Saccharomyces cerevisiae S288C: one gene and its partners. The gene in region 1 interacts genetically with each later gene. Each region holds a gene or a part of one and is shown in the gene's direction. Other genes may lie near its edges. The genes, in order: BUD14, TAP42 and SLU7.

Region 1 (10,727 bases):
ATCAACTCTACCGAAAATGTGAAGGTCGACAAGCTCAACAAGTTCAAGGAGGACTTTACCGACGCTGATTATCATTGGGATGCCGATTTTCAAGAAGAGAAACTAAATATATCACCCTCTAAATTCAGTCTTGCAGCGGCTCCCGCTGCCTGGGCAGAAAACAATCAAGAACTAGATTTAATGCCCCCCACTGAAAGTCAATTGCTGAGCCAATTGAAGAGTTCATCTAAGCCTTTGACGGACTTGCATGTGCTTTTCAGTGTTTGCTCCCTCGAGAACATCGCTGATACAATTATCGAGTGTCTGTCGCGCACAACTGTTGATAAACGATTAATAACTGCATTTGGCTCCATTTTTGTTTACGATACCCAGCATAACCACTCTAGGTTGCGACTGAAATTCATCGCTATGGGAGGAATTCCACTGATCATTAAATTCGAACATTTAGCCAAAGAGTTCGTCATCGACTACCCTCAGACTTTAATTGAATGTGGAATAATGTATCCTCCGAATTTTGCATCGCTGAAAACCCCAAAGTATATTTTAGAACTCGTCTATAGGTTCTACGATTTAACATCCACAGCCTTCTGGTGTCGCTGGTGTTTCAAACACCTCGATATATCACTCCTTCTGAATAACATCCATGAAAGAAGAGCCCAATCCATACTACTAAAGCTATCGTCATATGCACCATGGTCTTTTGAGAAAATTTTGCCCTCTTTAATTGACTCTAAGCTAAAAAAGAAAATTTTAATCAGTCCTCAAATTACTTACGTAGTCTTCAAATCAATAAACTATATGATAACCACGAATGACGATAAAATACACAAGTCCGCTATTCCTTCTTCTTCCTCTCTACCGTTATCCTCCTCACCCACGAGGAACTCACCAGTGAATTCGGTACAGTCTCCATCAAGGTCCCCTGTTCATTCTTTGATGGCAACGCGTCCCTCTTCTCCAATGCGACACAAGAGCATTTCAAACTTTCCCCATCTGACCATATCTTCAAAATCAAGACTACTAATTGAATTACCGGAGGGTTTCTTTACCTGGCTAACATCTTTTTTTGTTGACATGGCCCAAATCAAAGATTTATCTGTTTTAAAGTACTTCACCAAGCTTTGTTACCTTACAGTACATATAAACAGCACTTTTTTAAATGATCTGCTTGACAACGATGCTTTTTTTGCTTTTATCCGGAATATTGATACCATCATTCCCTTTATCGACGACGCAAAGACAGCAGCTTTCATTTGGAAACAAATCACTGCTATATGCGTTGAAATGAGTTTGGATATGGACCAAATGAGTGCTTCTTTATTTTCTACAGCTATGAATTTCATCAGAAAAAAGAATAACACCTCCATAAGTGGACTGGAGATCATACTGAACTGCTTGCATTTTACGTTACGCAATGTAAATGATGATGTGGCTCCTACAGTGGGCTCATCAGAGTCTCATAGTGTTTTCCTCATAAAGGTCAACAATGACGCTGCTATTGAATTACCGATTGATCAATTAGTTGACCTGTTTTATGCATTGAATGACGATGACGTTAACCTCAGTAAACTAATTAGCATTTTCACGAAGATATGCTCATTGCCCGGTTTTGAAAACCTTACAATTAATATCATATTTCACCCGAACTTTTATGAAAAGATTGTTTCTTTCTTTGATACCTATTTCAACAGTTTACTTATTCAAATCGATCTATTGAAATTCATAAAGCTAATATTCTCAAAATCGTTATTGAAGCTATATGACTACACAGGACAGCCGGATCCTATAAAGCAAACCGAACCAAATCGTCGTAATAAGGCCACTGTTTTCAAACTTCGTGCCATTTTAGTACAAATAACGGAGTTTTTAAACAACAACTGGAACAAGGATGTCCCAAAAAGGAATTCAAATCAAGTTGGGGGGGACTCAGTTTTGATCTGTCAGCTATGTGAGGATATCCGTTCATTATCAAAAAAAGGAAGCCTGCAAAAAGTTTCAAGCGTCACTGCAGCAATTGGTAGTTCTCCAACAAAAGATGAGCGTAGTAATTTGCGATCCTCCAAAGATAAAAGTGACGGCTTTTCCGTCCCCATTACAACATTTCAAACATAATGTAGGAATTGCATGTGCATACATACATATATAGAGAAATAATACAGCATTACATTAACACTATATATAGAATTGTGAACCTTCCAATACTGAAAACGCATCTGTTTGGAAAAGAGATCAGAAAAGTTTTTGAATTTAAAGAGGCCAGTAATGATAAAAAAGCATATACATATATATGCTTTTTTTCTTTTCTTTTTTTTTTCAATTGGGGATTAAATGTATGAACGACTCAAAGTGCATTTTGTTAAATGTTTCTAGCTATAGATCAATAAATCTGAAATACGATATCTGACATGATTGCAGTGGCACAGTCTTCCGATAGGTTACAGCCAAGTTTTTTTTTTAAGGTTTCTGAATTTTTTCATTACGTTTCCTAATTAGGTTAAACGTAAATAAAAGCGACTTTTCAAAAGAATATCAAATCATATAACATGAAAAGAGCAAGATTCACAATACTAATTTCAATGAGAGTGCTATTTGATAATTGAATCAATTCTCTGTGTGAGTATGCATAGACGACAGTTTTTCCAAGAATACCGTAGTCCTCAGCAGCAGCAGGGACACCCACCAAGGTCAGAATACCAAGTTCTCGAAGAAATTGGGAGAGGTTCATTTGGGTCTGTACGAAAAGTCATCCATATACCTACCAAGAAACTTTTGGTTAGAAAGGATATCAAATATGGCCATATGAATAGCAAAGAGAGACAACAGCTGATCGCTGAATGTAGCATTCTATCGCAGTTGAAGCATGAAAATATTGTAGAATTTTATAACTGGGACTTCGATGAACAAAAAGAAGTGTTATACCTTTATATGGAATATTGTTCCAGGGGTGATTTATCCCAGATGATTAAGCACTACAAACAGGAGCATAAATATATACCAGAAAAAATTGTGTGGGGTATCCTGGCCCAATTATTGACTGCGCTCTATAAATGTCATTATGGTGTTGAATTGCCAACTTTGACCACAATATATGACCGGATGAAACCACCGGTAAAAGGCAAAAACATCGTTATCCATCGTGATCTGAAACCAGGAAATATATTCTTAAGCTATGATGATAGCGATTACAATATTAATGAACAAGTAGACGGTCACGAGGAAGTGAATAGTAATTATTACAGAGACCATAGAGTGAATTCAGGGAAAAGGGGGAGCCCTATGGACTATAGTCAAGTTGTGGTAAAGTTAGGTGATTTTGGGTTAGCCAAATCTCTGGAAACTAGTATTCAATTTGCCACAACATACGTCGGTACACCATATTACATGTCGCCTGAAGTGTTGATGGACCAACCATACTCCCCACTATCCGACATCTGGTCACTAGGTTGTGTTATTTTTGAGATGTGTTCGTTGCACCCCCCATTTCAGGCAAAAAATTATCTCGAGCTACAAACTAAGATTAAAAACGGGAAATGTGACACCGTCCCTGAGTATTACTCTAGAGGGCTTAATGCCATAATACATTCAATGATAGATGTGAACTTAAGAACCAGGCCTTCCACTTTTGAATTACTGCAAGATATTCAGATACGAACTGCAAGAAAGTCGTTGCAATTAGAGAGATTTGAAAGGAAGTTACTGGACTATGAAAATGAGCTGACAAACATTGAAAAAATCCTCGAGAAGCAAGCTATTGAATACGAAAGAGAACTGAGTCAGTTGAAGGAACAATTTACCCAGGCAGTGGAGGAGCGAGCCAGGGAAGTAATTAGCGGTAAGAAAGTTGGTAAGGTTCCAGAATCTATAAACGGATATTATGGTAAAAAATTTGCCAAACCTGCATACCACTGGCAAACAAGATATCGATAAAATTTGCTCTGAGAACATTTATACATTAATACATACGGGTATGTATGAATCATATTCAGTGAGGAGTTACACTGGCGACTTGTAGTATATGTAAATCACGTTAGTGAGACCATTTAGACCCTGTCAATGTTTCATAAGCCTCTATATATTTGGCCCTTGTCCTGTCGACAATGTCTTGGGGCATTTTGACGCCGTTAACACCGTTCAACTTATTAGCAGTAAGCCAGTCTCTTAAAAATTGCTTATCGTAAGAATCTTGGGATTCTCCTACCTTATAAGAGGCACCGTTCCAGAATCTAGAGGAGTCTGGCGTTAGCACCTCGTCCACTAGAATAATTTCATTGGTCTTTTCGTCAATACCGAATTCGAATTTAGTGTCTGCGATGATGATGCCCTTCTCCTTAGCATAATCTTTGCACTTGGAGTACAGTTTTACAGCCAGTTCTGCCACTCTACGTGACAAATCTTCACCCACCAGCTCAGCGGCCTGGGCAGGAGAGATGTTTTCGTCATGTTCACCTTGTTCAGCCTTGGTCGATGGGGTGAAGATTGGTTCTGGGAACTCTTGAGATTCTTTAAGTCCTTGAGGTTGTTTCAAACCATGCACAGTACCTGTTTTTACGTACTCTTTCCAAGCAGATCCGGTGATGTAGCCTCTGACAATTACTTCCAATGGAATTAGTTTATGTTTGTGAACCAATAGAGAGCGGTCTTCTAGTTGCGTTTTGTACTTTGGTTCGCTCAATTTTGCAGGTAGATAATCGAAAATAGTCTTACCTGGGGCGATGTCGACCAAATGATTACGAACATCGTTGGACAGGAACTTGAACCAGAACTCTGACAGTTTGGTCAATAGGATCCCCTTTTCAGGAATGCTGTTTTCCATAATAACGTCATATGCAGAGATACGATCCGTAGCAACAAACAGCAACGTACCAGCGTCTACCTCATATATGTCTCTAACTTTACCTCTGGCCACCAATGGCAATATACCGTCCAGTTCAGTCTTCGTAATTGACATTATCGTTAATATTTCGTATGTGTATTCTTTGTAAGCAATGCTTATGATTCGATTGTTCTTAATAGTACCAACTGCAAAAGATAAAACCCAACCGTCTTACCTCAAAGAATCTGGGTAAGAATATATAGAATGTATATATATATATATGTATGTCTATATGTATTAGATGGCATCTTCGAGATTAGTATTATTACATCCTCATCTCTCGCAAGAGTCAGACTGACTCGTGAATAAGCTTCGGGTGACCCTTATGGCATTCTTTTTCAACCTTCAGGAAAAGTTTCAGATGAGTTGAAATTTCGAGTATGGCTACATGGATCAAGTGCTGTAAACAAAGAAGCTTCTACAGGGGTACGCTGGTTGTGTTTTCTGCTTTGCTATCGTGTAGAACTGGATCCATTCTTTCCTGGCTGTGGTAGTACTTAAGGAGTTGGACGTGTTCAAGTCGAGAAAGAGGTGAAATACACGTAGTTTTTAGATAACATTCTCTGCTTGGTAAGAGAATGAGTAATAAGGAAGAGCATGTTGATGAGACTTCCGCAAGTGGTGTCAAGGAGGTTAGTTCTATAGCTGCTAGACATGACAATGGTTACGCGCCTTCGCTAATCACGTCGACGTCGGGCATGGACTCCTTTCAATCGCACGCGCTACTGAATGATCCAACCCTAATAGAGGATTATTCAGATATCATTAATAATAGGCCTACAAGTGGAAGTAAACTTACTTTAGGAAACGAGGATTCGGAGAGTATGGGCGGAAGTGTTGTGGTGACTCCGACTTCGAATAAGAGTTCGCCCTTCAATTCGAAACTTAATATACTGAGTAATGCGGCAGAAAAGGGCCATGATGTTCTGCGAAATAGAGATGATGACAAAGAGTTAGAGGAGGAGAACGTGGAAAAACATATGCATAGCAACAGTAAAAGGGATCAGCGACATTACAAAGAAAATTCTTCGGAATTGCCCGACTCATATGATTATTCGGATTCTGAATTTGAGGACAATTTGGAAAGAAGGCTACAAGAGATCGAAACTGATTCCGTGGATAGCGCCGATAAGGATGAGGTGCATTTTTCAGTGAATAATACAATGAACCCTGACGTTGACGATTTTAGTGATGGCTTGAAATACGCCATCTCGGAGGACGAGGATGAAGAGGAAAACTACTCTGATGACGATGACTTTGACAGAAAATTTCAAGATTCAGGGTTTCAAGGGGAGAAAGACGATTTGGAGGAGGAAAACGACGATTACCAACCCTTATCGCCGCCAAGAGAACTGGACCCTGATAAACTATATGCTTTATATGCGTTCAATGGCCATGATTCTTCACATTGTCAATTAGGGCAAGACGAACCTTGTATACTTTTGAATGACCAGGATGCCTATTGGTGGCTGGTTAAGAGGATCACTGATGGTAAAATCGGGTTTGCGCCAGCGGAAATTCTAGAAACCTTTCCAGAAAGACTAGCTCGATTGAATTGCTGGAAAAATGAAAACATGTCTTCTCAATCGGTTGCTTCCTCCGATTCGAAAGATGATTCCATCAGCTCTGGTAACAAGAATCAAAGTGATGCAGAGAGTATAATTCCGACACCTGCACTGAATGGATATGGTAAGGGGAACAAATCTGTTAGTTTCAATGATGTTGTCGGTTATGCAGACAGGTTTATAGATGATGCAATTGAAGATACCTCGTTAGATAGTAACGATGATGGCGGTGAAGGCAATGGACAGTCGTACGACGATGATGTTGATAACGACAAGGAAACAAAAGTAACGCACCGGGACGAATACACTGAAGCGAAGTTAAATTTTGGCAAATTCCAGGATGATGATACGAGCGATGTAGTGAGCGACGTCTCCTTTAGTACATCTTTGAATACACCACTAAATGTGAAAAAAGTTCGGAGACAAGACAACAAAAACGAAAGTGAGCCTAAGACATCATCGAGTAAAGACAGAGAAGATGATTATAATGCAAATCGGTATGTGGGGCAAGAAAAGTCTGAACCGGTTGACAGTGATTACGATACCGATCTGAAAAAAGTATTTGAAGCGCCTCGTATGCCATTTGCGAATGGTATGGCAAAATCAGACTCTCAAAATTCCCTTTCAACAATTGGCGAGTTTTCACCGTCGTCGTCAGAATGGACAAACGAATCACCATCCACTCCAATAGTTGAAGAAAGCAGCAGTATTCCATCATCTAGAGCAATAAAGGACATTTCACAATATATTCATGCAAAATCGAAAATTGAAGAGACAACAAACGTGGAAAACACAGAGGGGCAAATTCAAGCCAGCTTGGGGTCTAGTGGAGGAATGGCAAATCAAACTGACGCAGAACAACCTAAAGAGGAGCTAGAAAAACATCACAGTACCCCCGAAGAAGAAAAGCAATCAACCTTATCGTTACACTCATCATCTGAAGAAGATTTTTATATGGATGAACAAAGGGCGGTATCATCAGCAAGCATAAATAGTTCACTTTCCGGATCAAGGGCATTGTCTAATACCAATATGTCCGATCCGGCTTCGAAGCCCAATTCTTTGGTTCAACATCTCTATGCTCCAGTTTTTGACAGAATGGATGTGTTGATGAAACAATTGGATGAAATTATTCGTAAATGATATTGTCCTTACAATAAAGCCTGGTCTTTTTCTCATCCAACGAACTTGCATCATATTCATGAATATTTATTTGTTTTAGAAACATTTCGGAAAAAATAAGGTAGTAACAGTTCAGCATATATGATAGCTAAAACAAACAACTATATATCGTATCTACAAAGTTTATCTTACTTCTTCTATTTTTTAACTTTGCTTCAGATTATGATAATGAAAAGGAGGAATAAAATTCTGTCATTATTCAGCATCCTCCAATGTGTCATAGGGATATAACTGGGGTTGAGGAGGTAGTAGTCGACAACTACTTAGTCGTGATACAACAGTATGGATAGGTACTTTCCACGAACATTACTGATGACAGTCAGCTATTCACGAATTCAATTGTGTTGGATTAACAAAAAAATTTGGACGCAACCGGAATCGAACCGATGACCTCTTCCTTGCAAGGGAAGCGCGCTACCAACTGCGCCATGTGCCCAACTCATTACAATACTAGACTTATGAAGGAATGGTAAGTGCTTAGAAGCTTTATGATGTAGTAGAGATTTAAGGCCATCAATTACATTGTTGAAAATAAGAACCTGTTGGAATAGAAATCAACTATCATCTACTAACTAGTATTTACATTACTAGTATATTATCATATACGGTGTTAGAAGATGACGCAAATGATGAGAAATAGTCATCTAAATTAGTGGAAGCTGAAACGCAAGGATTGATAATGTAATAGGATCAATGAATATAAACATATAAAACGGAATGAGGAATAATCGTAATATTAGTATGTAGAAATATAGATTCCATTTTGAGGATTCCTATATCCTCGAGGAGAACTTCTAGTATATTCTGTATACCTAATATTATAGCCTTTATCAACAATGGAATCCCAACAATTATCTCAACATTCACCCATTTCTCATGGTAGCGCCTGTGCTTCGGTTACTTCTAAGGAAGTCCACACAAATCAAGATCCGTTAGACGTTTCAGCTTCCAAAACAGAAGAATGTGAGAAGGCTTCCACTAAGGCTAACTCTCAACAGACAACAACACCTGCTTCATCAGCTGTTCCAGAGAACCCCCATCATGCCTCTCCTCAAACTGCTCAGTCACATTCACCACAGAATGGGCCGTACCCACAGCAGTGCATGATGACCCAAAACCAAGCCAATCCATCTGGTTGGTCATTTTACGGACACCCATCTATGATTCCGTATACACCTTATCAAATGTCGCCTATGTACTTTCCACCTGGGCCACAATCACAGTTTCCGCAGTATCCATCATCAGTTGGAACGCCTCTGAGCACTCCATCACCTGAGTCAGGTAATACATTTACTGATTCATCCTCAGCGGACTCTGATATGACATCCACTAAAAAATATGTCAGACCACCACCAATGTTAACCTCACCTAATGACTTTCCAAATTGGGTTAAAACATACATCAAATTTTTACAAAACTCGAATCTCGGTGGTATTATTCCGACAGTAAACGGAAAACCCGTACGTCAGATCACTGATGATGAACTCACCTTCTTGTATAACACTTTTCAAATATTTGCTCCCTCTCAATTCCTACCTACCTGGGTCAAAGACATCCTATCCGTTGATTATACGGATATCATGAAAATTCTTTCCAAAAGTATTGAAAAAATGCAATCTGATACCCAAGAGGCAAACGACATTGTGACCCTGGCAAATTTGCAATATAATGGCAGTACACCTGCAGATGCATTTGAAACAAAAGTCACAAACATTATCGACAGACTGAACAATAATGGCATTCATATCAATAACAAGGTCGCATGCCAATTAATTATGAGAGGTCTATCTGGCGAATATAAATTTTTACGCTACACACGTCATCGACATCTAAATATGACAGTCGCTGAACTGTTCTTAGATATCCATGCTATTTATGAAGAACAACAGGGATCGAGAAACAGTAAACCTAATTACAGGAGAAATCCGAGTGATGAGAAGAATGATTCTCGCAGCTATACGAATACAACCAAACCCAAAGTTATAGCTCGGAATCCTCAAAAAACAAATAATTCGAAATCGAAAACAGCCAGGGCTCACAATGTATCCACATCTAATAACTCTCCCAGCACGGACAACGATTCCATCAGTAAATCAACTACTGAACCGATTCAATTGAACAATAAGCACGACCTTCATCTTAGGCCAGAAACTTACTGAATCTACAGTAAATCATACTAATCATTCTGATGATGAACTCCCTGGACACCTCCTTCTCGATTCAGGAGCATCACGAACCCTTATAAGATCTGCTCATCACATACACTCAGCATCATCTAATCCTGACATAAACGTAGTTGATGCTCAAAAAAGAAATATACCAATTAACGCTATTGGTGACCTACAATTTCACTTCCAGGACAACACCAAAACATCAATAAAGGTATTGCACACTCCTAACATAGCCTATGACTTACTCAGTTTGAATGAATTGGCTGCAGTAGATATCACAGCATGCTTTACCAAAAACGTCTTAGAACGGTCTGACGGCACTGTACTTGCACCTATCGTAAAATATGGAGACTTTTACTGGGTATCTAAAAAGTACTTGCTTCCATCAAATATCTCCGTACCCACCATCAATAATGTCCATACAAGTGAAAGTACACGCAAATATCCTTATCCTTTCATTCATCGAATGCTTGCGCATGCCAATGCACAGACAAATTCGATACTCACTTAAAAATAACACCATCACGTATTTTAACGAATCAGATGTCGACTGGTCTAGTGCTATTGACTATCAATGTCCTGATTGTTTAATCGGCAAAAGCACCAAACACAGACATATCAAAGGTTCACGACTAAAATACCAAAATTCATACGAACCCTTTCAATACCTACATACTGACATATTTGGTCCAGTTCACAACCTACCAAAAAGTGCACCATCCTATTTCATCTCATTTACTGATGAGACAACAAAATTGCGTTGGGTTTATCCATTACACGACCGTCGCGAGGACTCTATCCTCGATGTTTTTACTACGATACTAGCTTTTATTAAAAACCAGTTTCAGGCCAGTGTCTTGGTTATACAAATGGACCGTGGTTCTGAGTATACTAACAGAACTCTCCATAAATTCCTTGAAAAAAATGGTATAACTC
Region 2 (10,727 bases), on another chromosome or scaffold:
ACTCTGGCCCTTTGGATTTAAACATTGTGTTAAGGCAAGATTTCTGTCCCTCGAACTAAATAGTTGCAATCCATAAAACCGATCAATAAACGTAGAATTGTATGTCTTTAGATGATACCATTCAACAAACCCTTTTATCGCTTGAAACCACTCAAAAAAGTACTTGTTCAGCCGCAAAGTATACCTGTTAGGGAAGTTCGCCACTAAATGATTTGCCAGTAGATAACGGATGGATGCGGGCAGTAACGAATCGATTTCTTGTGATGACATTATCTCAAAGATAGTCGGATACAATGGTTCTAATCCCACCCCATTTCGACCGCTTGTTGAAGACCCTCGACTAGATTGTCCTGCAGACGGTAGGTTTGAATAAAAGCTCATCACTTGACGACTACCTTCCTTTCCTTTGCTTTATTTTCCCTGCTTATTCCCTTGCTTCTTCTGGAGCCTTCATGCAAAACCGTTTCTCTACCTAATGTGATTCTGCGGTAAGCATTGCTCTTAAGCATCTGAATGAGACGAAAGGATGACTCCACACTAAATTGTACCTCTCTTCTCCAGTGACTGAATTGGAGGTTACCATTGCCAGTGACGGTAATCGTCCACATCGATGATTTCTTAGTATAACCCACACACCTCTCAGACATAGAGGCCCCAGGTGCAACGTGATAGTATAACTGCCCGGAAGTAGAAATACAACTATTCCCTTCATATTAAAAGAATAAAACTTCATTTGAACTCTTTAAAATTTAGTGGTTCATTGTGGTCCTTGTGTAAACGGAAAAAAAGGATATTACGGTAGTGGGTAGTACATAACAAGAGATGACTATCCCTGGAAGATTTATGACAATTGATAAGGGCACTTTTGGTGAATACACTGCTAGCACCCGTTGGCCCATTATCATTCAGAATGCTATAGACGATTTAAGTAAGCATCAAGAAACGGAGAAGAGTAACGGCACTAAGTTCGAACAAGGTGAAGTTATCAAAAAGGAGCTCAAGGAATTCCGTCAGGAGATAATTGATCGTGTACCTTTGAGACCCTTTACTGAAGAAGAGATCAAAATTGCCAACGTCCCGCTTTCGTTCAATGAATATCTAAAGAAACACCCTGAAGTCAATTGGGGGGCTGTAGAGTGGCTGTTCTCGGAGGTTTACTTGTATAGAAGAGTAAATGTTCTTTTCCAACGCCAATGCGAATGGGCTAAATTTGACATATTCAACAGACTTAAACAGTCAACTTTTGAGTCCTCGTTTTATGGTGTCGTGGAATTGGCGTTAAGGTATGAAAATCTGTTACCACAGCTGAGAGAAATGAAGCAAAATCCAGGAAATGAGATTGACGATATATTGAAAGTTCTTTTTAAAGAGTTTATTGAGATTTCTTTGTGGGGCAATGCCACTGATTTATCTTTATTGACCAACGCTACGTTAGAAGACATTAAATCAATCCAAGGGGCGAAAGCAAGAGCTGCATCCGAGTCCAAGATTGTTGTTAATGACACGGAGAAAGCATGGGAGGTATTAACCAAAGCCAGGGCCGATGCCAATAGCAGAGAAATTCGTGTTGATTTTGTATTAGACAATTCTGGCTTTGAATTGTATGCTGACTTGATGTTGGCAGCTTTTCTGTTACAAAGTGGTTTGGCTACCAAATGTATTTTCCACGCTAAAGACATTCCATACATGGTTAGCGATGTTATGTTAAAAGATTTTGATATATTAGTTCATGACCTGAGAGATCGTGAGTTCTTCCCAAGTGGTGAACCCTCGACAAAGGAATCCAGAGCTCTTGATTTATTTGCTGGTGAAATGGAAAAGTTCGTCTCTAGCGGTAAGATAGAATTCCGCGAAGATTCTTTCTGGACCACGGAATTAGATTATTGGAATTTGGACGCAAACGAAACCAAATACCATGGATCCATTTTGCACAAAGATTTGCAAAAATCCAATTTGGTTATTTTTAAGGGTGATCTAAACTATAGAAAATTAACTGGCGACAGAAAATGGCCCCGCACCACTAAATGGGAAACGGCTATCGGACCTCTTGCTACGAATGGTATTACATCATTGAGCTTGAGAACCTGTAAAGCCGATGTACAAGTTGCTTTACCTGAAGGTCTAGACGCGAAATTAAGTCAAGAATGGGAAAAGGAAAATCCTGGCCGTGGTTCTTGGTGGTGTTGTAGCGGTAAATGGGCAGTCATTTGTTTCTGCTCTGGTATACATAAATAAGAATATGATAAGTTCTCTATATAACTTTACTTTATGACTTTCCCTATGAAATGTTCCAAAAAAGCACATAGATTTTTAGTACGTGCCTTTTATTTTATGTACTTCTGATAAAAAAAAGAAAGCTCCTAAGGACAAATTACAATCAATGGCGAAAGAAGAGGAAGAAAGTAATAACGAGGAGAGATCATAAACATGGCGTCAGTAACAGAACAATTCAACGATATTATTAGCTTATACTCAACAAAATTGGAACACACATCTTTGAGGCAAGATTCACCAGAGTACCAGGGATTATTACTTTCCACGATCAAGAAATTATTAAACTTAAAAACAGCAATTTTTGACAGGTTGGCATTGTTCAGTACTAATGAGACCATTGATGATGTGTCTACTGCTTCCATCAAATTTCTAGCAGTTGATTACTATTTAGGATTATTGATATCAAGACGACAGTCGAATGATTCGGATGTTGCTCAAAGGCAGTCTATGAAATTGATTTACCTGAAAAAAAGCGTTGAATCTTTCATTAATTTCCTGACACTATTGCAGGATTATAAGCTTCTAGATCCTTTGGTTGGTGAAAAACTAGGTAACTTCAAGGATCGTTATAACCCTCAGCTTAGCGAATTGTACGCGCAACCAAAAAATAACAAAGATTTATCTGGAGCACAGTTGAAGAGAAAAGAAAAGATTGAGCTATTCCAGCGCAATAAAGAAATTAGCACAAAACTGCACTGCTTGGAGTTGGAATTAAAAAACAACGACGAGGACCACGACCATGATGAATTACTAAGAGAACTATATTTGATGAGGTTACATCACTTTAGTCTTGATACGATTAACAACATTGAACAGAATTTATTTGAATGTGAAATGCTCTCTAATTTCCTCAAAAATTCCGTACATGAAGTCAAATCATCAGGTACTCAGATACGAAAAGAATCGAATGATGATGATTCCACTGGTTTTACCGATAAATTAGAGAATATAAATAAGCCATTGATAGACAAAAAAGGTCAAGTCTTGAGGAACTTCACGCTTGTCGACAAAAGGCAACAACTGCAACAAAAAGTGCGAGGATATGGTCAATATGGACCAACAATGTCGGTGGAGGAATTTTTAGATAAAGAGTTTGAAGAAGGTCGCGTTCTTCAAGGTGGCGAAGAACCAGAGCAAGCACCAGATGAAGAAAACATGGACTGGCAAGATAGAGAAACCTATAAAGCTCGTGAGTGGGACGAGTTCAAGGAAAGTCATGCTAAGGGAAGCGGAAATACCATGAATAGAGGATAGAAAAAAATACCTATATACGTACACATAAGTATCTATTAGACAGATTCATATATTATTTTTTTTTCTGCCTACATCAGTTATATTTTAATCTTGTGCAAAAGGACTTCGTTATTTTTATTCACGGTGATTAACACCGGCGTAGAATCTACAATCAGATTTGAAGAAAATACCACAGGCTCTTTTCTTTCCGAGAAGTTGATGTCTGCTACGACAAATTCGTCGATGGATGGTTTTAGGTTTTCTAAATTCCTAAACTCAAAGTCTCCATTACTATATGATACGGTGATTATGCTGTCGTTCAAATCGAGTTGTATTGGTAGTGTTGACGATGGAGTCAATTGTTCCTTCAGTACAACTTTTTTCTTATCAAAAGAATAAACCAATAATCTCTCATTGCTTAGCTGAATCAGTAGCTTAGAAGTTTTTCTATCCAAAAATAAATGGTAACCTTCTTCTTCTGGCTTACCCGATAATATTGTATCAATCTTCAAATCAATTTTTTGTAGAAGCTTACCCTCGAAATCATATATGGTAAGCTGGTATGGATTTGAAGACAGTAATATTAAGGATTTTTCTGTTATACCCAATATACAATCCAGAATGTTTGTGGAATCATTACTATCATCGTCATCATTATCATGTGTTATTTCATATGTTTCTTTTATGTTAATTGGGACATCCTCAGGAGCCTCTATATTGTCCAATTCCCAGATTCTAATTTGAGATTTATTCTTACTAGCTATCAACAACCATTTATTTTTGAAGTCTATATTAATGATATCACTAGACGAAAACGGCTGTTCTGAGTCTTGTAATAGGTCCACATCTGAGATCAAAGATGCGCTAGAAATAGAGAACAATTTCAAATGGAAACTCTTTTCAATAACAAGGAGTTTGGACGTCGAAACCCAGAAAAATTTCATAATGTCGCTATCTTGCCCTAAAGATATTTTCTTTAAGAGTTTGGAATTCAAGTTTGCGTCCACTTGGTGTATTTCTAACGATTTGGTGTCTGCATCATAAAGTGCCATACAGTCCCCGTAGGAGCTGATAATGTCGACTTTCGACAATTCCGAGTGTATCTTGGATATTGTTTCATTATTTTCACGCTTGTTGGCTGTGCTAAACAAAGATTTCACTTTGGTTGGTGATGGTGACTCTGAAGGACCTTGCTTTGGATTGGGTTTGGTGTCCAAGAGGGCATTATTTAAAATATCCATCCCATTTGTCTTCGCACTGCCCTCTTCCTTGGGAGTATTCACGTTCAGTTTCTCTAAATCGTGCAATTCAGAACCCGCTTCTCTGCTATTTAATGACTCTAACTGATTGACCGTGTTAGGGCCTTTCAACAAATAAATTATTTCCTTCACATTTTCTTGAACAGCTAGCTTAGACTGCAGTAATGAATCAGGCACATGTTTTTCTTCCTTTTCACCTTCAGGAGAAACAGCTTTCGATTGTATTTGATTCAATTGATGCTTCAAATCTCTATTTTCGCCCTCTAGTTCTGCAATTCTTGCTTTCATTTCCGACCTTTCTAGCTCCCAGGTGATTCTATCTCTTTCATTCTTCGTGAACTCCGTTTGCAAGTAGTGCATTACACCAGGTAACGTGTAATGCGGATGAACATGTGCCTGGTTAATAGCCATATTGTTTTCCGGTCTAACTACACGCACTTACTTCTTTTGGGTTTCTTTATTAATGTTGTTGCTTGCTCCTCACATTTAGTCGTTCTAGGTGGCTTTTATCTAAGATTACGCGACGGGGAAGATCGCAAAGTTAAGACCAATAGAGTACTATACCATATCCCAACAAAGAAGCCTAGGGGATGGTGCAGCAGTAAAAACTGAATAGACTATAATAGATCATCCTACGTAAAACCCGAATAGGTTATCTCTTAAACCTTGTTTTCCTGTAAAGTTGTCCCGCGCATGTGAAGACGCAGAGAGTGGAGATCAATCTTAAAACAACTGAAGCAACTAGCACTTTCTTGACATTTAATAAGGAACTATTATCGCGTAAACCAAAAGAAACGCATGTAAAACATCTGCAAGTTACTCCATCATCTGACACCTAGAGACGTACGTATCAGAACGATTTGAGTGGAGGGGTACAAAAAGGGACTCTGTAGATCAAAAACTGTAATATTATCCTTTTTTTTACTTTCTGAGAAGCTATTCGAAAACAAGGAGATAGAACTACAAGCAGTTATGAAGGACCTAAATCCAGAAATGGGGAAATTTGCTACCACTAAAGGCCCTCCTCAAGACAATAGAGGCATGGTTGATATAGCGACACTGCCTAATTTTCCTGCCAACCGTAGTGGGACTCCTCGTGAGGAGATGTATCTGGCGCCCAACAAGATGGAAACTCCAAGGATACTTAATATGAATATGGTACCGGATTATTTGCAAAAAGAGAACTTCTCGCCAGATTTTTCTTCTGCTACCGTATCTGCCAAGTCATCTCCTGTCAACGTTACTCATGATGAGTCGCTTCCTCTGGGAACTATTGAATCGAATAGCACAAAGGATTCTAAATATGCAGTTCAACGGCAACAGCAACAAGTGGTAGATTTCATAGAGAATAATATGCAGCTACTGTCTTCAGAAACACTAAATTTTAGATCAGACATTATGAAAACTTTGGAGCTTCCCATTCCCAAGAGAAGAGATATTAAGGGAAACCATCTATCTAAACTATTATTTGCTAAATCACCTCTAACTATCAACACATATTGCCAATTTTATGACCGTAGAACCAAGCGAATTTGCAATCAAGAAATGATATGGAAAGATAAGAACAGTAGAGAGAAGCATGGTTCTAGAAAGTATCAAAGACATTTGAGTAAAGTTCACGATGTCCAGCTAACACCAAATAATTTTACCGAATTTTTTGATCATAATTCTCCACTTTTCCAGGAATGCTATGACTATCAATCTAGATTGATGCGTGATTTACTTGTTGAACCAGATGCCAAATTCAAAGAGAAGAAAAAGAAGAAAAAAGGGGACGTCAACGGAAATCATCCTGAAACCGGATCGAGCCTCATCAACCACCAGGTCCAACAGCAAAATGTTCGAGAACTTCAATCGAAAATAGCCATGAACGACTTGATAGAGATTCTTATCGATTTAAACATTCCGTTTTCTGTTTTAGACTACCAACCAATGAGAAATTGGCTCATCAAATATTCAATAATTTCAACAGATACTTTGCCGGATGAAGTATACTTCAAAACTGATCCAGGCGTGAATGAACTGGAACACAACAGTAGTAATTTAAACAATAGCAATAGCGGTACTCCTCATAATCATAATCAAAACCAACATACCAATTAATTAAAACTTGCTTTTAATCTGCATACATAAAACTTAGATCAAATAAATAAAAAAAAAAGTAAAACAACCATATATACTATTTCATAAGCAAAAGTAATCAAATTAAACAAAAAAAAGAAAATACAAATATTAAATTTAAATTAAGGCAATAAACATATATTATACACATAAAAAGAATAATTAAAGCGCAGATGAGAACTATCTTAATTATCAAAATTCTGTAGTATCCCACTCAACTGTTCAATATCTTAGCCGCACCATTTCTTCGTTATCTAGGCTCACTAGCAATTATTTTTTCTCTTGATTACTAATTGCATCCTGATCGTCTTCGATCGAAGAACCCTGTGAAAAGCCACTAAATGTATGTTCCAAACTATCAGGGCTAACTCCCAATGATTTATTGTTTCCTGCTTTCTGTGAAACCGAGATTTCTTTTGAATGCTCCGCTGATTTACAATCATTAGCGTCTTCTTTTCCACTTGATTTATTTCCGATCGAAATTTTTTCTTCAGGTTCCTTTGTTTGAACAGCAGAACTAGTTTCGGTAGCTTCTTTTGCGGCAGTACTCACCGGAACCCCATCACCACCTGAATTTTTCGTTTCGGCTCCCACTATCTCTTCCTTCTTTAGTTCATCACCTTCCTCTATTTTTTCAAGTTGGGTTGGTAAATCTTCAACATTTTTCTCGACGGATTTGTTTTGTGTTAAATACTCCTCAGAAGTCATACCAATCAATTTTTTAACCTTCTCTTCGTCAATCTTATCATCGCCACGTGCAGAAGCAACATCTTTCATAGCTTCCAACAAATTTAGTTTTTCCTTCTTTAACTCGATTTCGGTCGCGTTCAACTCGCTCTTACGTTCGTTAATCAACGAATCCACTTCCAATTGCTTCAGACGGGCCTCCTTGGTTGATAACTCAGCCTGCTCTTTAGCCTTATTAGCAAGAATAATAACGTCATCATTCAAATGGGATTCCAAGCTTTCTTTAGTTTGACCTAGTTCCAGTAATTTGTCATCCTCTCTGATATTTCTATTCTTCTGGGCGTCAAGATCATTTCCGTAACCAGAGATCTTTCTTTTATGGTCAACTATAGCATCCTGCAATCTTGAGATTTCTGCGTTAATTTCATCGCGCTCTTCCACTAAAGTTTTGTGTTCCGCTTCTGCATTTGCCAGATCGTCATGGTAAGGTTTCAATAGTTCTTCTTGCTCTTTGCGCGCTTCAGTGATATCTTGTTCACATTTCTTACCCCATTCCTCCAAATCTTGATCTAGACGAGCTTTTTCGTCCTTTAACTCTTGCTGCATTTGCTTTTTAAATTCGATCTCTTTGCTCTTGGTATCTTCAAGCAGAGTTTCCCTTTCAGCGACTTTGGTATCCATTCTGGCCACAAGTGCATCAAAGCTGGCTTTAATCTTTTCCTGGGAGGTCTTTTTTTCGGTTTGATGCCTATTAGCCGTAGTAGTCAATACTTTGGCGTCATTAGAAATGATAGAACGTTCCATCGTTTCCCATTCATTTGATGATTTATTATAGGCCTCAGTTCTTTCTGCAATTTCTTCATCCATAGCACGTTGCGCCTCCGCCCTCTCACTCACTTCACCAAGTACAGGAGAAATCAATCCGGATGCGATTTTAGTGATATCTTCTGGTGACAAAAACAGGCCACCACCCATGTTAATCTTGTTATGGAATTCTGTCTTTTTCTGATGATTAGACTGTGCGACAGCGACAGCAGCTTTGTTGTATTCCATATTAGTGAATAGCTTTCTATGCATATCGCTTTTTTCAATGATATCCAATTGTCTGTCAACATTGGCTCTTGCCAAAGTCAAAACTTGCTGAGAAGTTAATTGGCTCAGATAGGTTTCCCTCTTCTGCGCCTTAAGAGCTATACTTTTGTCGATATCCTCACCAGGATGCATGTCTTTCACAGCATTAGCAGCTCCTAATGCAAATTTCATCGACTTGGCTTCTTTCTCAGCAGAAACTTTTTTGACCTTTTGTAAATCTTGTGCTTTTGGAGCATCAACTTTCGCCATAATGTTATTCATCATCTCATTGGAGAAACTGAATTGATTTAAATTACCATGCTCATCAGTCTTGACGCCGTATTGGAAGTTCGTCTTTTCCGGTTCCCATCTTTCCTTAATACGAGATTCTGCCTTTTTTTCAGCACCCACTAAGACTTTCTCCAAATTCAAAGTCTTTGGTTTAGGATTAACAGTACTGTTGAAACTGCCACTCGCGCCGCTTAACACAGAGCTGGCAGAGGTGATAGAATATGACCTGCTGTTTGTTTGAGAGCTTAAACTTGTAGTTTCCATTGTCATCGAATAAGCTTTCGATGCGGCGGCCCCTGGAGATTCTTTGGACTTTCTCTTCGTCTGAGATTCTTTTGAAGTTTTAGAAGTAGCAGAAGTTATTGAGTTGTTACGTACAACTTTGGGTCCCATTTTGGATGCAGCTTTAGTGGCATTAGGGTCAATAAACATACGTTTGTAAGCTTCTACCGTGGTTTGATTGTCATGAGCTAAATTAGCTGCCTTGTCGGAAGCTGCATGAGCGTCGCTGACGCCAATTGAGTAACTTTGGGCAGGTGACTGGTAAACCCCGTACTTCAACTTCGCCTTATATAAAGCCTCCCTGCTTAATGGTTCGCCTGTTGTCTGGTATACCTTTGGTTTTCTCAAAGATTTAGAGCCGTGTTTCAGCGACTTTTTCGACGAAGTTATAGACGAAGTCCTGCTCCCTCCACCAGAAGTCTTTCCTATATTATGTATGTCTCTATCTTCTACAGCTGAAATTAAAGACATTGGTTATTTTGCGTTGGTTCCCTATATGCAAAGCTATTTAACAACTAAAGACTGTGTAATCGTCAGAGTGCACTATTTTGCTTCTTTTCAAAGTAGCTGCCAAAGAGCTGAACCTTTAGGATCCACTGAATTAATAAACATTGGTGATATACTGCAAGCAACAAGGAGTTCTCCCCATCGAGTGGCAGTAGTTCTTCCCCCTCTCGAGGGTGCCCCTTTCGGTAGTTTGCGATTTTCTTCCAGAAGAGCACCGATTGCCCCATCCGGAAAGTACTATTTCCCTTTTGGGTAACAGCGGACCGAAGCGGAAGCGTTCGAGTAGCCGAGGTATATGATTTCCTCTTTGGGCAAGTTGTAAACAATAAATGGTAAAAAGTTATGAAATATATTCAATGGTAAAGGTCCATTTGATAAAGTACACATTCACTGTATGAGGGAAAGAGGAAAGCCAGCTAGAGCATTTTTTTGGAGCAGGCGAGCAAACAATATAAAATACAAAGGCCTCGTGTGAGACTTGGAAAGTGTACTACTAATATTCAGAAAAAGGTGAAAGAATGAGCTACAGTTATGAAGCTTGTTTTTGGGACCCAAACGACAATGGTGTGAACATCCTTCTGGGTCACATTTCTCAGGGAATAAGATCTTGCGACTCAATGATACTTTTCTTTAAGCAGCGTAGTGAGCTTGAGAAGGACTATGCCAGGCGGCTTGGAGCCATCACGGGAAAACTAGACAAAGACATTGGAACAAACATGGATTATGGAAAGTTGAATGAAACATTTAATGTGGTGCTCAGTGTTGAGAAAGCTCGAGCACAATCGCATTCCAAGCAAAGTGAGATTCTTTTCAGACAGATTTACACGGATACTAAGGCATTTGCCGCTAACTTGCAAGCAAGATATACTACATTGAGTGGAAAGATTGAAAGGTTGCGGATGGACAAGTTCAACAAGAAAAAGGGGTGTGAGGTGTTGCAAAAGAAATTACAGGATGCCCAGATTAGATTCAGAGACTTGCAATTGAACGAGAATAATATGA
Region 3 (10,727 bases), on another chromosome or scaffold:
TGTTACTCGTGTGCATCGAACCAGATTTCTAGCCGGGTAGTTTTGCAACTGAAAAAATTTTCTATTTTTTTTCTCAATCGCATCGCTCGCTAGCAAAGTGAAAGTGAAAAAAAAAAAATGTAAAACTGGGCATTAACCTTTATTGTTTCTGTATTCTTAGATCTTCATTGTGATCTGTTTCAGCGCGAATTCCACCTAGCCTTCTGCAAAAGTTCTTAAGAAAACACGACAGACCATAATGAGTGATAAAAACAGTCGTATCGCTATCGTTAGCGCTGATAAATGTAAACCAAAAAAGTGTCGTCAAGAGTGTAAACGTTCGTGTCCCGTTGTGAAAACTGGTAAATTATGTATTGAAGTCACTCCAACTTCAAAAATCGCATTCATTTCCGAAATCTTGTGTATTGGTTGTGGTATTTGCGTTAAGAAATGTCCATTTGATGCTATTCAAATTATCAATTTGCCAACTAATTTAGAAGCCCATGTAACTCACCGTTACTCTGCCAATAGTTTCAAACTGCACAGATTGCCAACACCAAGACCGGGTCAAGTCCTTGGTTTAGTCGGTACCAACGGTATTGGTAAGTCTACCGCCTTGAAAATCTTAGCCGGTAAACAAAAACCTAATTTAGGTCGTTTTGATGATCCTCCTGAATGGCAGGAAATTATTAAATATTTCCGTGGTTCTGAATTACAAAATTACTTCACCAAGATGCTGGAAGATGATATCAAGGCTATAATCAAACCTCAATATGTTGATAACATTCCTCGTGCTATTAAAGGTCCGGTTCAAAAAGTTGGCGAACTTTTGAAATTGAGAATGGAAAAAAGTCCTGAAGATGTGAAACGCTACATCAAAATTTTACAGTTGGAAAACGTTTTGAAAAGAGATATTGAAAAGTTATCTGGTGGTGAACTGCAAAGATTTGCCATTGGTATGTCATGTGTTCAAGAGGCTGATGTTTATATGTTCGATGAACCTTCATCTTATTTGGATGTTAAGCAACGTTTGAATGCCGCTCAAATTATTAGATCTTTACTAGCTCCAACTAAATACGTTATTTGTGTTGAGCACGATTTGTCAGTTTTGGATTATCTTTCCGATTTCGTTTGTATCATATATGGTGTTCCATCTGTTTACGGTGTTGTTACATTACCAGCCTCTGTCAGAGAAGGTATCAACATATTCTTGGACGGTCATATTCCTGCTGAAAACCTGAGATTCAGAACTGAAGCTTTACAATTTAGAATAGCTGATGCTACCGAAGACTTGCAGAATGACTCTGCTAGTCGCGCCTTCTCTTACCCAAGTTTGAAGAAAACTCAAGGTGATTTTGTTTTGAATGTTGAAGAAGGTGAATTCTCCGATTCCGAAATCCTTGTTATGATGGGTGAAAACGGTACCGGTAAGACCACTTTGATCAAATTACTAGCTGGTGCTTTGAAGCCAGATGAAGGACAAGATATTCCAAAATTGAATGTTTCTATGAAACCACAAAAAATTGCACCAAAGTTCCCAGGTACTGTCAGACAATTGTTTTTCAAGAAAATTAGAGGACAATTCCTAAATCCACAGTTTCAGACTGATGTCGTTAAACCTTTAAGGATTGACGATATTATTGATCAAGAAGTCCAACATTTGTCTGGTGGTGAATTACAAAGAGTCGCCATCGTCTTGGCATTGGGTATCCCAGCAGACATATACTTGATTGATGAGCCATCTGCCTACTTAGATTCCGAACAACGTATTATCTGTTCTAAAGTTATCAGAAGATTCATCTTACATAATAAGAAAACTGCGTTTATTGTCGAGCACGATTTCATCATGGCTACTTATCTTGCTGATAAGGTCATTGTTTTTGAAGGTATTCCTTCCAAGAATGCTCACGCAAGAGCCCCTGAATCTTTGTTGACTGGTTGTAACAGATTTTTGAAGAATTTGAATGTCACCTTCAGAAGGGATCCAAACTCCTTCAGACCAAGAATTAATAAGCTAGATTCCCAAATGGATAAAGAACAAAAATCATCAGGAAACTACTTTTTCTTGGATAACACCGGTATTTAAGCATCTTGGGATTCGGAGAACCAAGAGGACGATTGTTTTATTTTTGGGTTTAGAAATGTGGAGAAATAATTAAGAGTTATAATGTTTTTGCAAAACAAAATGAGTATTATATTACATTGAGTTCCTTCCCAAGCATCGGGTTGTTTATTTCTAGATATACGCCAACTAATACATTTCTAACTTCCCACCTTCATTACATCATAACCTGAAAGTGAACAACCTCCTCTTCGGTGATCCGTACTCCAGTTTATTTCATTTTTCTGTAAAGCAACTACACTATATTTATTCTCTATTTATTTTATATACCTATTGTATTTTAATTAATCGTTATTTTGTCCGCACCTTCTTCGTAATCGAATTTACCTTGTAAACGAGTCGTCATGATAAGCATTTGCTGCATTACTGAACGTTTATCTTAGCATGACATTAAAGTCCGTTTGTCTAAAATATCACCCAATTATTTCCGCGGTGTGAGCGCCAGATAAGGTGCTTCGGGTAATATGAGAACGCCGTTTCTTGATAGCATTTTTCAATGACTAGATAGGTAGATTACCTCTGTATCACACTTCTCGTACCAAACGAAACTCATATAAATAATGCTTTCCTTCTGGTGCCTTCTACTTTCCGCTGATCTCTATTTTCAAATTAACCGCTGAAATATAAACTGTGGAATACTATAACATAACATAGATTTAAGAATAAGGTATTCATGATCTCTGAAAAGGCTGCTACCGCTTTAGCTACTATAGCAACAGTTTGCTGGTGTGTCCAGCTAATTCCGCAAATAATATATAATTGGAAAAAAAAGGACTGTACGGGGCTGCCACCACTGATGATGTTCCTCTGGGTTGTTTCCGGAATTCCATTTGCCATATATTTCTGTGTTAGTAAAGGTAATGTCATTTTACAAGTTCAACCACACCTTTTTATGTTCTTCTGTTCTATAAGTTTCGTCCAATCGTGTTATTATCCACCAATCAGTATGGCGAGATCCAAAATAGTAATGATTGTAGCTGCTATTATTGCGGCTGATGTTGGCATGGAAGTTGGCTTTATATTATGGCTGAGGCCCCTTTACGAGAAGGGTGTTAAATGGCCCGATCTGATTTTTGGTATTTCTGCATCTGTTTTGTTAGCTGTCGGACTGCTTCCACCTTACTTTGAACTAGCCAAAAGGAAAGGTCGTGTTATTGGCATCAACTTTGCCTTCTTATTCATCGATTCATTAGGTGCTTGGCTATCTATCATCAGTGTTATCCTAGGTAATATGGATATTATGGGTATTATATTATACTCAATAGTTGCTGGAATGGAGTTAGGAATTTTCGCGTCTCATTTCATATGGTGGTGTAGGTTTAGATTCCTAGCTAAAGGCAATACTTTTGACGAAGAAAGTGGCCAAGCTCAAAAGGAAGAACCCGATGAAAAAATCGAACAAGATATTAGCAAGAGTGACCGAAATGTTACTAACTATAACCTGGATAACTGTTCAATCCCCGACGATGCTTCGAGCTTTGCAGACGATTTTAATATATACGATAGTACTGATGGGGGGACGTTATCAAGAGCCCAAACATTGCATGCTGTCCATGGAGTTGTGGTTAGAACAGATCCTGATCGTTATTCGAGGCTAAGTGTGTAACGAATCTGAGTCCTTTTTAGTTAGCACGTTTTCATCTCTTTTTGATAGCACGCTTAATAATATTCACCACTAGCGCAGTAATATGGCATCTGCCGCAGGTGTAAAGGTTTTCACTTCGCTTATATTCACAATACTATGCGTTCAAACACGGCCATCAGAAAAGATCAAAATAAGGATTATTAATTAAAAACTTAAACAGAAATTCAGTTTGCAACACCCTTCGCAATGGCGAAGTTTCCAAAAACAAAATCTCCAAACAAGATTAACATTCTTCTTATGTAACCACATGATATGCATATTTTATATAGACTGTACACATGAAAAACTTTTATCGTCCAAAATAATTAAAAGAAAATTTCAATCATACCATAGCACACTGTTCCAGTAACTGAGAAAAACATTGTGAAGCAACCAACATAATGCCAGATTGGCGCCAAAGTGAACCGACTAAATAACAACAACAGGCACGCACAGATCAAAATAAGGGAAACCAGTAAGGAAATGATAATAATGGCTATGAGAATATTTTGAATTTCTAAATCTATCTCATTATTACTTTGCCCGCGAAACAAGGATAAAACGATTCCCAGACATACACTTGCCATAATGCAAGATGTTAGCAGTGCAGACAAGTATAAAAATGTAACAACTTCGTCATGCCTATATTCGTAGATAGATTGTGAGTCCTCTATGTCTTGCTGTTGATACTGTAAGTACCTTTGAACGTCATCATATGACGCTGAAGTTGATTGTGAACCAAATGACGCAACAGAACCATAGTTAGTTGATGAACAATGCGGATGCTTAGAGTTTTGAAACAAATCTGGCGATGTTTTCTTGTCATGGCGAATCAAGTTTCGTAACTTCTCACAAAAATCATATGTGCGGTTGATGAAATTCCGGCTAAACAAAATAAACCCATAATCAGGCGGAGAATTTCTCAAAAGTAAGGATTCTTCGTTATCTGTTGTACTCCTGCTTCCATTAGTATCAATGTAAAAAGCATTGTCTAAATTATCCTCTTCTTGTTCATCAAATTCATTCCAATACCTAATAGGTTTCTTTTTAGTTTCATTATCCGATTGCTTTGATTTTTTGTGAATTCGAACTCTTCTGCCGCTGTCAACACTACCTTGTGAGTTGTTTATCGGCCCAGTCAGGTCAAACTCTTCCTCTAGACGATCCTTGCCCAGCTGGAAAAATTCATCAGGTGATAGCGAATCATCGGAATTTAATTTATATTGATCTCTTAGTAAAAGTTGAAATAAATCATTTTGCAATTCATTTGAGTGTACTAATTCTAAACATATTTTCCATGTGGTTAAGTCTGGTGGTATTAAGCTGCATTGAAACTCATTTGTAACAACTGATTTCATTAACTGTTTAAACTTATTGTCTTCATTAATAGCCGTCTGTGAAAGACCACTGGATCGACTAAGCTTTTTAATTTCTAAAATTGGAAAGGGTAATGTAGATACATTTCCAATAGTGATAGATTCATCCAAAGCTATCAAGTATATATCTCCATTGTCTGCTGATATGAATCTTGTTCTTTTAAAATCTAGCTTTGGTTCAATGGTTTTTAATCGATGGGACTGAATCCACTCCAAAGCGATCTTACTGATTGGCGATGGATCCAGTGAGTTTATGAGAGCGCTAATATTTTTTGTGTCGTTGCCACTCCTCATGGCCGAAAGAATATTCTTTACATCCCTTAGAAGCAGATCATTTGTGACAACATGATTTCTTAAGCCGCCCACGTGGCACATTACTATACAAGTATCCTCAGCAGTAGAGCTGACTATCATGTTTGGGTGCTGATTTATATTATCATCAGTAAGTAGTAAAGGACTGCCTTCGTTCCCGACAGTATCTAGTATACTAATAGAAACGTACTTCTCATTGGATTGTACAGCAGAGGGTAATATGTTCTTCTGTTTAGATAGGGATAAGGTATGTTGTAAGTCATTGAATGACTTTGCTGATCTTATAGATTTGTTGCCCGCAGAATTAATATTATCTGTAGTGTCTAAAATCTCCTTTGAAGTGGATATGATGCTATCGTCAATTATCCTAAAACCAATATTCAATAGCATGAACTTCAGTCCCTCTATGTCCTCGGACGATAATAAAAACCTTCCTAGATTCTCTGCTTTATCTATGAGGGCAGTATCGAATTCTAGCGAAGAATCAATCATTTTTGAAGTTTTCTTGTTTGAAAGTAGCGGAATTGACCTTGGAGATGCTGGCAAGGAAGAATTGTTGGCTTCTGGACTTGAACTTGTATGGGCAGATTCATCGGAGCGGTTTAGGGATCTTTGCTCCACTGCTGGCTCAGTTGCATCTTCAAGTTTATTTTCCAAATCATGTAAAACATCAACAATTAGCGAAACTTCTAAAAGATATGGATCTAAATCAAGCTTCATAAATGATATGCCTTCGTGTCCATTTCGTAAACTTTCAGAGTTTCTGATCGACGTAACATACTCACTTGCAGTCAATGGATTTTCACTGTCTTGAGGAAATTCATTTAGTAATTTTTTGAATAACTTTCTCAAGGCAATCCTTTGTATTATCAAAAACCTTGACAGTAGTTGTAGTTCAAAGTTACAATCGTCTACATGAGCGTTGATGATTTTCAGTTTACGAAGGTTGAAACGGTTTCTGGAAGTTTTGTTTAAGCCCTTTGAAAAATCGATTATTGATGATTCCACAGAAAGAATACGAGTGGAAATTTCCTTTATTTTCAAAGAAACAAATAAATTAACATTTTGAAATTCCTGGTCAAAGGCTACTGAACATTGATTCAACAACTTCTCCATGCCCGAATCATTTGGATTGTCATAATCATAAGCCGTTACTTTTTTTATGGCTACTTTTAACTTCTCATAGTTAATATTGTAGAATTTCCATTCAGGGATTGATTTATTCAATATGCGATCTTCAAATTTCATGATTGTACAACCCTTCGTATCTATCCTTACCTAGGGCTGAGATGGAGATATACAAAAAAAAAGCAAAGGTAAAAAGCAAGTATTAAACTCTATCTCTATTATATTCAAGAGGGCAACGGACGAACTATTAATTTATGAATTTTAAAAGTCCTTTGATAGCGTTCACGATAGGGCTTTTTGATCTTGCCTTTGTTTATCTTTTTATCTGTTTTGTTTTTTTTTTTTTTTTTTTCTTGGTTCAGTTTTGACTCTTCCACACACCCATTTCGCTAGCGTAGAACAAGGGGAGACACAAACTTTCTTTTCCTTGCAAGTTAATAACACAACACCCGTCCTCCTGCACTGAATTTACACAGAAGTTAAGAACCGCCTCTGCTTTTCTGGTATTATTTTGCAGCCTTGCCTAAAAAAAGTGTGGTAATTTTTGAGAATAATATATTACTGTGTTTTTCGAAACGAAAGTTCTGAATATTGGCTTGGTCGCTTCCTGATATCTGGAAACTTGTTTAATGTTTTTAATTATCAGTCTTCAAAGCGTCCTGATATGACTTGCCACGTTTCCATCCATTCTATATGTAGTTTAAATACAATGAGATAAAGGGTGCCTGCATGGAACTTTCCATTCGAAAAAAGAGATCATAAACCTTATCTGTCAAATAAAAGCCAATCTATTTGATTAGGTAAAAAAAGTGATGTCAGACCAAAGTGCCCCTCTCCTGCAATGATCATCGATTACGTACGGGTGTAATGATCACGACAGTAAAGTGAGCAAGGTAACTACTATCCCTAAGTGCGGCGTCATTGTAAGTCTACGACGTAGCATATTCAGTTTACTGTACAAGAAAAGTTTTCTCTCTGTAACAAGAGGAAATTGGTTAGCTTTCTACGCTTACTTCGTTTGGTACGATCAGTAAAGGTGAATAAATTAAGATCCACGCCTTCATATGGCAGGATCCACGATATTCCTTGCAATACCCCTGGATAATTCAAAAACCAAATGTTACACGGTATACTTGAAAATCGATACCATATTAGGAACACACCGGCCAAAGGTTGATAATACTTGGTATGAGATAAAACCCGAGCTCAAGGTTTAATGTTAAAATTTTTTGTATATATATATATATAGTAATGGGCTCGGTTGCAAATTTTTATGACTATCTTGAAACTAGTTGAAATTGCAAGAACCGTCACTCTATGGAGTACATGAACAACTAAAAAATAGCTTGAAGATACTTGCCACTCCATGCCATTTCTAGAAAGGGGTCTCTTGAGAAATGTGTGTTAAAATAACGGTTATATAGTTGGAAAGAATATTACTATTTTGCGATTAAGGGATGCCGTATGGCAGGCAAGGAAGTATTTGATCAAGAATACCGATTAATGAAGCATGTTTGCCATTATCGTTGAACCTTGGTATTTCTCAGGTTTCCTTATCGATACGATAGGAATGAGAATCAACTAACATTTATCGACTACAATTCATTATTACTACTATATTATCAAATGCTCTGCAAGGAGATGACCAAAAAGAAATGAGAAACAGTCTTCATCTCAAAATATAGGCAATTACCAGGTATACGATATTTCCTCAAAATGAAAATGCCTAAAATACGACAGAAAAACTTAGGGTGACGACTTTTTAACTAATCACTGAATGCAGCCGAAGCAAGTAATTATTTCCCTCGTTGCTACTCATTGAGGCCGCTCCATATGGAGATTTGAAAAAGGTTCTATTGATTCTTTAACTGGTGTCCATCCCCATGAGAACGTTTTAGTTAATTAACTGCTGGTAAAATAAGCGATAGTTGGTATTTTCAAAGGAATATGAGAAATGCGGGAATACTAGTTAGTAGACTATATTAAAACTTTGTTTCAACAGAATAATATATAGATACAACAGGGCAGTTGTGAAGATTGGCAAATAAATCTTTAAAATAACTTCTTTGTCCGGGCTAAGCAGGATACCACACTTTAAATGATGATTACCACCCCACAAGAGAAGTCGGTCTGAATTTATTAATTCTGGTATCAGCAAATCCCGTATTTCAATAACTTCAAGAAATCTTGTTCCTCGTGGCCCAATGGTCACGGCGTCTGGCTACGAACCAGAAGATTCCAGGTTCAAGTCCTGGCGGGGAAGATTTTTTATACATTTTTCTAGACTTTTGATTTTTATACCTAGTGACAATTAAAATATAGAAAAGAGTTGGTAACCTCAGCTGCCGTACTCTTCAATTTAATTGGAGAAGTTGTCGAGTTTTTTTAAAGTACATTTCATTGGAACAACTAGTGACTAGTTCGAACGCGGAAAGACAATAATAGTACCCATAACGATAACTCCTTCGTTATCTATTGAATAGCTTGCCTTTCAAGTAAATCAATAATCAAGTCTGCGTATATCATTTATCGAGCACTTCTGAAAAAGATACCAGTTACACTGAAATACAACGATCGGATTACATAATGAATAATAACAGCAGAAACAACGAAAATCGAAGCACTATTAACAGAAATAAAAGGCAACTACAACAAGCAAAAGAAAAAAATGAAAATATTCATATCCCCAGGTATATTAGAAATCAACCATGGTACTATAAGGATACCCCCAAAGAACAAGAAGGGAAGAAGCCCGGCAATGATGATACGAGCACTGCAGAAGGAGGAGAAAAAAGCGACTACTTGGTGCATCATAGGCAAAAAGCAAAAGGGGGTGCTTTAGATATTGACAATAATTCAGAACCAAAAATTGGTATGGGTATAAAGGATGAGTTCAAACTAATCAGACCCCAGAAGATGTCCGTCCGAGATTCTCATTCGCTGTCATTTTGTAGGAATTGTGGGGAAGCAGGGCATAAGGAGAAAGACTGCATGGAAAAACCTCGTAAGATGCAGAAGCTTGTTCCCGATTTAAATTCACAAAAAAATAATGGCACAGTTTTAGTACGAGCTACTGATGATGACTGGGACTCCAGAAAAGATAGATGGTACGGTTACTCAGGGAAAGAATACAATGAACTGATAAGTAAGTGGGAGCGTGATAAAAGAAATAAAATAAAAGGAAAAGACAAATCCCAAACTGATGAAACACTATGGGATACAGATGAAGAGATAGAACTAATGAAGTTAGAACTTTACAAGGATTCCGTAGGTTCATTGAAGAAAGATGATGCTGATAATTCTCAGTTGTATAGGACATCAACGAGATTGAGAGAAGATAAGGCTGCTTACTTGAACGACATAAATTCAACGGAGAGTAATTATGATCCTAAATCAAGATTGTACAAAACTGAAACACTGGGCGCAGTTGATGAAAAATCAAAAATGTTCCGCAGACATTTGACAGGTGAAGGCCTAAAATTAAACGAATTGAACCAGTTTGCTAGATCTCACGCTAAGGAAATGGGTATACGTGATGAAATTGAGGATAAGGAAAAAGTACAACATGTTTTAGTCGCCAATCCTACTAAATATGAATATCTGAAGAAAAAACGGGAACAAGAAGAAACCAAGCAGCCCAAGATTGTCAGCATTGGAGATCTGGAAGCTAGGAAAGTAGATGGTACAAAGCAATCTGAGGAACAACGGAACCACTTAAAAGATTTATATGGTTAAGTTATATCATTTGAATTTCCAATATCCTAGTCACGGAGCACGAGAGGTAAAGAATTTAGAAAAAAAAATGCGATGAGCTGAAAAAAATTGTCAAATATAAACTACATTCTTAAGTATACGTATATATCTTGCGCATTCACGGCATAATACACTAAATAGACACTTAAAAAATCGAGTGAGAACATTCACAATGGAGACCTCCAACTTTGTTAAACAATTATCGTCGAACAACAGAAAAACCAGGGTAAATGCACTCGAAGCGTTAAAGAAATATCTAACCGCTAAACAGTTCAAGGAGAACAAACAAATAGAATTCAATAAACTTTGGAAGGGTCTTTACTATGCAATGTGGTTCAGTGACCGTCCTAGACCTCAGCAACGTTTAGCCAATGAATTAGGTGAATTGCATGGATTATATTTTGATCCTAAGGACAATAGCACTGCAGATGAG

The links.
Region 2: mutations in BUD14 (region 1) and TAP42 together harm fitness more than expected from each alone (negative genetic interaction), as found in Saccharomyces cerevisiae (3 studies listed by BioGRID).
Region 3: mutations in BUD14 (region 1) and SLU7 together harm fitness more than expected from each alone (negative genetic interaction), as found in Saccharomyces cerevisiae (2 studies listed by BioGRID).

Annotation. Positions count from the first base shown.
Region 1 is NC_001133.9:163,596-174,322, reverse strand, and holds BUD14 (protein phosphatase regulator BUD14), read left to right. Parts: upstream 1-5,451; coding exon 5,452-7,581; downstream 7,582-10,727. Other genes in the region: serine/threonine protein kinase CDC15, read left to right, coding at 1-2,112; serine/threonine protein kinase KIN3, read left to right, coding at 2,620-3,927; ADE1 (phosphoribosylaminoimidazolesuccinocarboxamide synthase), read right to left, coding at 4,028-4,948; YAR010C (gag protein), read left to right, coding at 8,457-9,779; YAR009C (truncated gag-pol fusion protein), read left to right, coding at 10,136-10,727. UniProt on the Saccharomyces cerevisiae protein: Important for bud site selection. Seems to be a regulatory subunit of the BUD14-GLC7 type-I phosphatase complex. The BUD14-GLC7 complex is necessary to regulate microtubule dynamics at the cortex and may function as a specific activator of the dynein complex.
Region 2 is NC_001145.3:325,055-335,781, forward strand, and holds TAP42 (Tap42p), read left to right. Parts: upstream 1-2,427; coding exon 2,428-3,528; downstream 3,529-10,727. Other genes in the region: PEX12 (ubiquitin-protein ligase peroxin 12), read right to left, coding at 1-381; YMR027W (putative methyltransferase), read left to right, coding at 823-2,235; FAR8 (Far8p), read right to left, coding at 3,606-5,177; RSF1 (Rsf1p), read left to right, coding at 5,739-6,869; EIS1 (Eis1p), read right to left, coding at 7,158-9,689; formin-binding protein HOF1, read left to right, coding at 10,244-10,727. UniProt on the Saccharomyces cerevisiae protein: Involved in negative regulation of the TOR signaling pathway in response to type of available nitrogen source. Inhibitor of PP2A phosphatase SIT4, which results in inhibition of nuclear export of MSN2, due to lack of dephosphorylation by SIT4.
Region 3 is NC_001136.10:618,046-628,772, reverse strand, and holds SLU7 (mRNA splicing protein SLU7), read left to right. Parts: upstream 1-9,127; coding exon 9,128-10,276; downstream 10,277-10,727. Other genes in the region: RLI1 (Fe-S cluster-binding ribosome biosynthesis protein), read left to right, coding at 239-2,065; ILT1 (Ilt1p), read left to right, coding at 2,775-3,707; VTC5 (Vtc5p), read right to left, coding at 4,052-6,661; RRP1 (Rrp1p), read left to right, coding at 10,467-10,727. UniProt on the Saccharomyces cerevisiae protein: Essential protein involved in the second catalytic step of pre-mRNA splicing. Involved in the selection of 3'-type splice sites; this selection could be done via a 3'-splice site-binding factor, PRP16.